2 linked regions of the Coturnix japonica genome follow. The protein of the gene in region 1 interacts with the protein of each later gene in a pairwise test. Links are inferred from orthologs where the notes say so. Each region holds a gene or a part of one and is shown on either strand. Other genes may lie near its edges.

The links.
Region 2: the proteins of NUFIP2 (region 1) and FBLN5 interact in binary tests that used the Homo sapiens proteins (3 or more experiments, as listed by UniProt). The link is inferred for Coturnix japonica from reciprocal best matches to the Homo sapiens genes NUFIP2 and FBLN5.

What each region holds. Positions count from the first base shown.
Region 1 is NC_029534.1:4,760,616-4,765,841, forward strand, and holds the start of NUFIP2 (nuclear fragile X mental retardation-interacting protein 2), read right to left. Parts: upstream 3,399-5,226; 5' UTR 3,289-3,398; coding exon 3,105-3,288; exon of another isoform or gene 2,858-3,104; intron 1,556-2,857; coding exon 1-1,555. UniProt on the Homo sapiens protein: Binds RNA.
Region 2 is NC_029520.1:40,372,958-40,378,225, forward strand, and holds the start of FBLN5 (fibulin-5), read right to left. Parts: upstream 3,029-5,268; 5' UTR 2,569-3,028; coding exon 2,552-2,568; intron 458-2,551; coding exon 403-457; intron 1-402. UniProt on the Homo sapiens protein: Essential for elastic fiber formation, is involved in the assembly of continuous elastin (ELN) polymer and promotes the interaction of microfibrils and ELN. Stabilizes and organizes elastic fibers in the skin, lung and vasculature.

The DNA.
Region 1 (5,226 bases):
CTGCCAGCCTCTGCCTTTTGCAGCTCGCCAGCGTGATGCGACTCCAGGGCTGCACCGCCGCCCTCCCCAGCAGTCCCAGGCTTTGGGGCAGCGCTGAGAGCTGGGGATGGGTTAGTCCGTTTGTCCAGCTCGTACGCCTTGGGGAACACGGGCTGCTCAGCTCCTGAGGGGACGATTTCAGCACACTGTGAAACCAACGCGGCGGGATATTCCCCCTGAAACGTCACTTCCATTGACTGGCTATCGGCAGATTTCCCCACCGCGGTGTCGGGGCCGGCGCTGGGCTCGTTGATGAAGGACAAACCCCATTGGTTCTGGAAGATATCTCCCAGGTTCTGCTGATTCGTCTGCGACGGGAAATCGACTTGAGCCGTACCCAGCAGCACGGTTTGCATATTGGAAGGGTAGATAAAAAGGTTGGATTTCTTCTGCTCCACAGCCGCTGGGGCTGCGCCGACGTCCGGGGTCACCGCATCGCTGGGGGTGGGAGGGACAGGAGCAGCAGCAGCAGCAGCGGAGGCGAGCAGGGGCTGAGCGCCCGCAGGGTACACAGTGCCATCCGTCCCGGCCAGGATGGGCCCGTTGGAGAAGCTGGCAGAAGTGACGGACTTCATAGCAGACATGGGGACCTGGGACAGCCGGCTGGACGGGGCGGGCTGAGCTTCCCCGGCAGATGATGAAGACGACGATGACGAAGACGCAGATGGGGGCTGAGCTGCTTTGTTGAGGTTCTCCTTAACTTTGCTTGCATAACTTATTTTGGGAACGATTTTAGCACTGCTATTGTCCACTGGAAAAACCGGGGGTGGTTTAAATAAGGTCCACGAGTCCTCCTTAGACGCGGCCGACGAAGCGTGCTTCCCTTTGGGCCGCTCATCAAACTTCTTGCCGCTAATCCCAGGTTTGGCATCCGAGTTTTTCCTCTGCACGTCTCCAATTCCTGGTTTCCCCCTGCCCGCCCCGCCGCCCCCCGCCTCGTATTTCCAAACAGGCTTCGTATTCTCAATTCGGTTCCCCTTTTGCTCGCTATAATCAGGCTTGAAACTCTCCAGTTCCTGTTTGAGGGCCGGCGTGCCGACCTCCTGTTGCATTACTTTGTCCTGCGTGAGGTTCAAGCTCTCGCAGCCCTTGGCGCTGTTGCGCCGGCCTTTCCTTTTCTTTGGGGTGGTGTAGCCACTCTCGGAGCCGCTCCCGTCGTTGTCGGCCCCCCCTTTGCCCACGTAGCCATTGGTGATGTAGGTGGCACCGCCGCTCACCACGCCGTTGGGGACGGACACCCCGTCCTGCTTGTCGGCAGGCTGAGCCTCCCTCACTTTGCTGTCGTAGGGCTTCTCATTCTTTTTGTCCATGCTATTTTTCTGAACAAAATTCTTGGGTTTGATGGCGGCTTTCCCCAGAGAGCTGCCCTTCACAGACGGCTTCGGGGTCACGTTGGGGTCTGCGGGCTGCTGGCTGCCATTGGGCACCCTGGACGTGGGGCTGGTGGTCTCCTCTGAGCACAGAGACTTCAGTGACACCTCTCTGTCCCCTGCGTTACCGTTCAGCTCTCCATAGCCTGGAAGAAACCAAGAAGAGACAAAAGAGCAAAGATGAGAATGTGCAGCATTAAAGTTCTGACTGCAACAAGCTGCGCCCCGTTTCCTCAAGGTGTTCTGAAATAGGGAAACATCAGCTCCCCCATAAAACCACCGCAGGAGCACAGCATGGCCTGGGTTGCAAAGGAACGCAATGATCATCTGGTTCCAACCCCCTGCTGTGTGCAGGGTCACCAACCAGGCTGCCCAGAGCCACATCCAGCCTGGCCTTGAATGCCTGCAGGGATGGGGCACCCACAGCCTCCTTGGGCAACATGGGACACACTACAGTGTGTCACCACCCTCTCCTCAGATCCAACCCAAACCTCCCCTGTCTCAGTTTCAACCCATTCCCCCTTGTCCTATTGCTGCCCAATCCACACCATCTCCATCCACACAGAGCAGGGCTGAGCACCACCCATGGATTCACACACAGCACAGGGACAGCAGCGCGTTGTTGGACACAAGGAGCAAAACAAAGCAGGAGGGACACAGGGATGCGAGGAGAGGAAAGCAGGCAGCCCTGCAAAGCCCATCGCAATCCAGAGAGCGATTTCATCAGCACCATTTCCAGGTCACGCAGAGGAAATTCCCAGGATGCTTTAACAGGGGCTGCTCCTCTCAGCCCGGAGCTGGTGGCATCGTGTCCCTGCAGCACCGGGCCGGGCCCACGGCACCTCCAGCACCGCGAAAAGCAGCGCTCAAAGGGGACACGTGCCGGCACAGCAGCAGATTGGGCTGAGCTGCGGTTTGGGGATGGATGCTCTGGTCATCGCCAACGCTGCTGGATGGAGCAGCCCTTATCTGTGCATCCTGGAGCCTCAGATGCGGGGCAGATGTCAGAGCTCCAGGTCTAAGGGATACGGGAATCCTAATGGAAGGGAATCCTTATGGAAGGGAATCCTTATGGAAGGGAATCCTTATGGAAGGGAATCCTTATGGGACCGCACACACGTGGATCCCTCTGACCGCACGTTTGGCCCGGTTCGGTTCGGTTCGGCGTGTCAGCACTTCCAGGCTCCAATTCCCGAGGCCGCTCCGTTCTCTCCCCAAATCAACAACTGGGCCGGGGGGGCGGGGGGGGGGCGGCGAGGAAGGGGCGTGCAAAGGGACGGGGTGTGGGGTAAAGGGGGGTGCGGGGTAAAAGGGGCTGGTCCCGTCCATGCCCCGCGCAGCGCAGGCCCGGCCCGGCCTTTCCCCCCCGTTATCGCTCTCGCCGCCCCACGCGGTCCCGCCGCCCCGCACACCGTGTGTGTCCCGCCCGCTCCCCCCGCACATTCCTCCTGTCCCCGCTCCCCGTCCCGCTCCCCCCGCTCCCACCCCGTCCCGCATCATCCCGCACCGCTCCGCAGCCCCACGTGCCCCGCGCCGCCCGCAGCCGCGCCGGCTCCAACATGGCGGACAGGAAGCGGCCCCAGCGCGGCGGAGAAGCTTCCAGCCGGGCCGGGGGAGGAGGATGATGAAGGATGGAGGATGGATGAAGGATGAAGCCCCCCCCCCAGGAGCCGCCCGCCGCCCCCCGCCCCGCACCTGTTCTCCGCTTGGGCCCCTCCGGGTGTCGGAGCGTCGCTTTGGGCTGGGCCCGGCCGTCGGGCGGCGGCAGGAAGGAGCTCTGCGGGTAATAGCAGAAGTGCCGGTGGTGCGGGTGGTGGTGGTGGTGGTGGTGGTGCCCGTGGTGGTGGTGGTGCGGGTGGTGCGGGGGCTGCTCCTCCATTGGGGGAGGGGAAGGGGGGGAAGAAGCTTTGCGGGGCCGGGCTGGGCGCTGTGTCGCTGCTGGGCCGAGCGGCGGAGCGGGGACGAGGCTCCGGGTGGCGCGGGGGAGGCGGGGGGGGGAGGGATGGGAGAAACGGAGCTGCAATCACAGAACGGCACCGCCCCCAGCACCGCCCCGCAGCGAGGAGAGCGGCGGAACGGGAAGAGGAGAGCGGGGAGGGGGCGGTGCTGGGGAGCGGGGGGATATGGGGGGATATAGGGGGTATAGGGGGATATAGGGGGTATGGGGGGAGCGGAGAGATACCGAGATTCCCGAATAAACGGGGGAGGTTTGGGAGCGCGGAAAGGCGCTGAGCGGGGCGGGGTGGGAAGGCGGCGTGGGGTGAGTCCGAGTGTTTTGCTTCCCCCGGCTTCAATCGCAGCATCACGGTGTGACCCGGCTCGGAACGGAGCCCCAGCGGCGTCCAGCTCAACGCCCGGCTCCGAGCGGCACCGACCCGCCGTCCTTGCCCCCCTCTGCAGCTCCGTGATGTCCGCGGCCAAATGAGCCCACGGGGGACGGTCCCGGCTGGGTAATGGAGCCCCAGAGCTTTGGGGTGTCACTCCACGGCCACGCGGAACAACGCGGACCCCACGTTCCCCACGGACACCCAACGGGGCGGTGGGATTTGGGCTCCATTAGCAGCGCAGGGGGATGGGGGGTCGCCAGGGGGACACACTTGGGATGGAGAGACCCAAAAGTGAGCCCACGTTTTGTCTGGGTCAGATGGAGATCCCCATGCAGGCAGCGCTCAGTGCGGCTTTAACCTCCTGCAGCAAACAGGGCGATAGAATTGAAGCCCATCACAATATCCTCCCAAAGAGTATCCAGAGGGCACAGACCGCCCTTAACCACCACTTCCTACCTTCTCCCACATAACAACCCCATATATTTCAATAAAGCTCAGCTCCGTCCTGCATCACACAGAGCCCCCCCACACCTCAGTGCAGCACAGGGGTTGTCCTCCTGCATAACCCTGCACACAAGGCAAAACTTCCTACTGTGCTGACCTCACTTAGGAAACAGCTCCCGAAGCGAGGAGCCGGGCTTTAATCACAGCTCACATTTTATTGGTGGCTTGGAAGTGGTTTATTCTCAATGTAAGGGACTGGTTTGGAGACAGGAGCTTCAAAGGACTCTGGAGAAAGCGAGTAATTATGGACAAATCATCTCCGCACACAGAGACAGCAGAAATCTAAATGCAAAGCTCAGAGGGATGGCTGGACATGAAGGGACTTTCTCTCCTTAGAAGCTCCGCTCTGTGTGTGCATCACATGGAGCATCCAGAGCAGGAGAAACCAGATGGAAACACACATAAAGGCTCATCCCAGTGATTTGTAGGAATCATTTCTAAGACCAGTTCCCTCTCGAAGGTCTATTTGACACCAGGTTTAATTTGCATCGTATGTTCAGGGCGAGCTGGAATGAGAGAATTCATCCACAGGAAGAGAAAGATCTCATCAGCCATGGGAAGAAAAGGGACTTATTGCGTCCACCTCCATCCAACACGTCAGCAGCACACAGCCATGATGCAGCAGGTGGTATGGGGTGATATGGGGTGATATGGGGTGATATGGGGTGATATGGGGTGATATGGGGTGATATGGGGTGATATGGGGGCAGGGCTCACTTTGGAGCAGCACCGTTTTATAGGATGAGCACAGAACCCACAAGGAAGCAGCACAAACCCGCTTTAGGTTCTCCTTTAGGAGCCGGGCGGACCCGCATTGCTGCTGGCCTCAGACTTTGACCTCTGGAAGACAAATGGGAAAAGCTCAGTCCACAAATCCCAAGGACTTTTCATCTGGTTATACAACACAGCACTCACGGGGCTGCTGCTCATTTGCTTGGCGTTCTCACTGCATTGGGACACCAAGCACTTGTTTGATAGCGGGGACT
Region 2 (5,268 bases), on another chromosome or scaffold:
AGACTTCTATGCACAGAACATGCCTGTTTACACGACTAAGTTTTCCAAACATGGGTGTTCCCCACCACAGAAGTGAGCTATCCTTGCTCTCTTGGGATGGCTTTTATTTTGTTTTCCAGAAGTGTTCAGTTCAGAAGCAGAATCAGGTTTTTAGTGAGGTCCAGGTTCCTGTAGAGATATTTTGCTGAGCTGGCAAGGATGAGTCAATAAGCTCAGTCCATGTTCAACTCCAGAATCCTGTTGGCTCCCAGTCCTCCCCTCTAAACCCTTAGACCACACAGCTTCCTTTTCATGTAAACCCCAGACCACAGAGCTTCCTATCCACCTGCTAGCCAGTTAAGTCTCATGCCATATAGTGCTTCAGTATATAACAGTGCATAGATCTCTCTGTACACCTCTCACCTGTGCTTTTCCAGGACTCGAAAGGCAGATGGTCAGTGTGAAAGCAGTCAGTATCCTGTAATGTGCACAGAAAATAGGCTGAAAACCTTCTGATAACCAGGCTCATTACACAGAATTAATTACACACAGAGAAACTAATCTCTAGTGACACTTCAGTGCATTCCAGAGTTTTTTGGCCTCTGGAGAGAGAGTAATATGATTGTGGGCCACATTCAGATCTCAGTCAGTAGTTTTACTTTGGTTTTATAAAACTATGACTAAAATCAGCCTGTACGTGTCAACTAACTAATCTGTTTTATATGATGTTCCATGGAGAAGCTGTTTGCTGAGGAAGTGCATAATATTCAGCAGAGCATTGTTGCCCCTGTCTGTGGCACCTTTCTTTTGACAATATCAAAGTTTTTCATGCACATTATTTGCATTTTACAGGTGGGTAAACCAGAGAACAGGCCATGCCTAAGCTCATCGTGCAACTCATTGGCAGGGCTGCAGAGATGACATGCAGGAGGTCCTGAATCCAAGCCAGTTGCACTAACCGCTAAACCGCACTTCATCCCCAGGAGACTATATTTGAGATTAATCCATTTTCTTTAGGTCAGATTTTGTCCTTCTCCCCAGCTCTCAGTGATACATTGCCCTGTGTGTACACAGACTATGACAGGACATCAGATACTGGAAGCTGCTGTCCTTAGTGGAGATCTCCTGTGTTATACCACCTACTGGGGCTTGCTGAGTCTCTTTGCTGCAACTGACAGAAGAGGGTCCCCAATAACAGAGCTCTGTGGCTATACATGGGACTCTCCAGTCACCTAACCTGCACCCCCATGTATTTATTCACTGACAGAAAACCAGGACAGGACAGCAAGAATTGATTTTTCTCTATGTACTGTGGGTTTCACTGTTTTGCCTCTTCCTTACATCAAATTTCTTTTCAATGCAGTTAAACCTAAATCTTGCGTAGCTTGGATTTTAGTTCTGAATGGCAGTAGTGTATGTTTCCCACAAACCAGCACAGAAATCACAAGATATTTTAGATAGTCTTAGTTCTGCTACTCCAGTGAGCTGCCAACTTTCTCTTTTAGAGCTGTCTCTGATTTCCAGTGTGAAGTGAGCTGCTGAACAAGACCTAGAAATGCACCAGACAAAACCAAGCACAGAGACTGACACACTTGAACACGTTTGCTTTGAGTGTGGAGACAGACACAAACTCTGAAAAGTAAACACAAACTCTAAAATGGTTGTTCGTAGTGCTGTGGAGATAGATAGGCTGTGCCTGTTGGCAGCTTCTGAGTGACAAGGAGAAGCAAATTCTACACAGACTTTTCCTTGACACAAAGCATTCAAAGTACAGCATTATCCACCTACACTTGCATTTCAATTTTGATTACTTAAACCTTTTTGAAGTCATTTTAAAGTAGCACAGAATACAGAGACTGCACCCTCAGTTTGCATATGGCAGTAACAGCACTAGAGGGAAGTACAGCAGGTTGTAGCTGAACACTAACACACCTAGCTGCCTCGCATACCTAGGGCTGCACTTCACATTATTGCATGCTAACAATACCCACTGTAAAATCAGTCAGACACAATTCATATTTTTCTAGACAGTCTTTCCGTTGTTGCAGGGTAATACATGCTTCCCTGCCGGCATGGAGAGTGACCTTATTGCCTCATACGTGTTCTGTCTGCAGCCACCATCACAATTTGCTCGTTACTGAGCTCTCTTATCCCCTCCAGAGTTATTAACAGACATGCAGCACACCGTATCACTGCTATATTCAACTGGTCACAGTAGCTTGTCTGGCAGGCAGAGTATTTTGAAATAGTAATTAACTTCTGCAGTAGTAACTAATTAGCTTCAAATTAATCACTGCAGTCAGGGGACCCATTCGCTGTTGCAATTCAGCACTCCCACAGATGCTGGGATTCTTAAAGTGCAGAATATAAGCGCAGATCAAGAAGAAAATTGTCATAGAGAGTTCAGCTTTAATAACAGACAGATCGTCTTCCCCCACCTCTGACCACTGAGATCCCGTCTCCGTGCAAATGGCTTCAGCAAGTGGATTGGCATATCGAATCCTCTCCACAGATATTTTCCACACGTAGGTTTCCCTTCAGTAAGCACAGAAGTTTCATGCATAGCTCTTACCTTTTTAATCCTTGCATGTCCAAAACCGTTGGGAAAAGGTGGAAAAAAAACAGAGCTCGTGCTGATGAATAACTAGAAAGTGTTTCCAAACATTACCCTCTGCTAGCACTTCAGTTCCTCAGTCATTTATAGTCCAAAGAATGAAAGAGCAAGTAACGGAGAAGATCGGGAGCAGTCCGTACCTCCTCAGACACTGGAGAGAATACAGAGAAAGCACCTGGTTTTGCTTAGTTCTCTTCTGTAATTCAGCATTAAACCAATTGGAGGAGGAATGTTAAAAATGAACACTTCATTTTCTAAGTATGTTAAACAATGCAAATGGGGGCCTCAGCCTGGGACAGCTGGTTTAGATTACAAAGCTCACCAACTGGCTAGACTCCTCACAACAATCTCGAGGAGCCTGCCAGGATAAAACACTAACAGCTTGAAGGAAAGCCTCTCCCGCTGCAAACTTCTCAGTTAAATGTGCCTCAGAGCACAGAGCACCGTTATTGGACAGAAACTCTTATCAGGGGACTGGAGAAGGGAAGGGATTGTTTTCCTTGTTCTGAGAACAAAAAAAAAAGTCAGACTTTTTTGAGGCCCTCTAGCCGGTGTCTCGGACGATGAATATGCAACACCCATAGCTTCGTGCCAACGGCATAGCGATGAAAGTTCTGACCCTCTGGGAGGTGAATAACTTGAATTCATGACAATCACAGCTACAGGAACTATATTGCTTGGGGATTATTTGAAAACAGGAATAAACAAATTAAACGTTCAAAGGAGAGCAAATGGTTTGTCTACAAACACTGGTCCTTTTTAGGCTGACCCCGTGCTTAAGGGAGAAGTTTTGAAATGAAATTTCTCAGGAAAGACGTATCTTGCAGATCTCCAGTTTTGACTGAAGAGGAAGGAAATATGGTCCCTTTTCAGGTGTTTTGCAACTCTGCCCAAGGCACAACTTCGGCAGGTCAAGCAGAACATTTACGAGATGTGAGAGGTAAGCAATCAGATGCTGCAGAGATTATGCTAGACCCAAAACGAACACAGAAATGAAATGCAGACATAAACATAAAACGAATACTTTGAACTTCTGTAGAGCCCCCATCTGGGAAAACCTTTCATTTCCAAGGAACTGGAAGGTCTGATGAGATCAAATCTCTGTCACATCTCTCCATCATTATGGGGAAACAGTTAGGACAGATTTTCCTAGAACTGGCCTCAAAGTGTGGATACACAGCATAAGAAACAATGATTCAGCTGCTTCAGGGCTGCTGAGCACCCAGAAGTCACATTGGAGCTGATGGGATAAGAGTTCCATTATCTACATGATTAACGAAATGACAGCACCAGAAGCTCAGTGCTGCTTTTGACAGCTTGTTCCTTACATCACTTGCATTGCATGGAAATGTAAACTCTCCCCTGGGGTGTCAATATTTTTGCAGACCAATTAGAACCAATTAATTTATTTAAAATAAACTTCTCCAGGGCTTAAGAAAAACACACACATAAGAATTCTGGCAAAGCTGGTCGTGTTTTTTTCATGGATCAAAAAACTAGCAAAAACTGGGTGAGTTTTCATTTAGGCAAAAGTTAACAGTCAGTAGTGTTGTCATTCCATCACAGGACCAGTGTTGCTCAATGATCTGGAGAGCCAGCAAGATTACAACTCACCATGCCTGTTATATTCTAAGTGCACGATCTACTGAAGCTATTAGAAATATCTCTACAGCAAAGCAGATGCTCTGATGATCCATACTTGTGGATGAACTGGTTTCATATACTTCTTAATACTTCATTTGCTGTTCCGTGGAAGTTTTCTTGCTTTCCATGGCAAAATCTTTAATGCATGCCAGAATCTCGGCATGGGTGCAGCACAAGTCTGTTCCTGGCTCAGACTGAAGAGCTCTGATTCATCAGCCATCTGGAAGAGGTGCTCCAGCGCTGCAAACGGGAGGTGAATCCAGCCTCGATCAGCTAAGCGGCTCCCTTAAGAAGGGATACTGTACAAATGTTTTGGTTTTTCCTGTCTCCATCAGGCAGCTGGAGTGGATAAAATCCAGAGTATAAAAAGGGCACCAAACCACATCTTGGGTTAGTTTGTAACGTGGTGATTTTTTTATTCCTAAATAAAAGGAATGTAATTCCTAAATTAAAGGATTGTTATGGCTAAGTGATTTTTTTGCAGTTCCTTTTGGTAACTACTACCTGCTAGACTCACATCTTTCTTTGGTAAGAAGAGTTGCATAAAGAAAAGCATTTTTGGTACACAAAAACTCTTTTGTTTACCCTGTAAACAGAGTATCTTTCAACACCACCTACTGACACTTATGTGCAGGATGGTGGTGAGACTTCAGTTGGAGCAGCTCACTTACTTCAATGGTCAAATGGTTTCCTCGTGTTCTAAAATCCACTAGTTTAGATTACCTTGACTTTGTCTTCTTGAGGAGGTGTAGAACAGTTCACAGTACAGAATGGGGTTCTGTTAAGTAATTGGATTTGGTCTTGAAAACTTGCTTTGCACATAGAGCTAGTGTTTATTGTGTTTATTTAGTGTTTAGTGTTTATTTAGAAAATTATGTAATGTATGAACATAAAGGGCACATAAGCTATGTAGCATCCCCTTAACTCTACCCTCCTTGGATGAGAAAGCAGAGTATGAATTGTGCCATGCTCCCATAGGTAATGCAGAACTCTGCAATAACAGTGATCCTCAACACCAGAGAACGTGACAT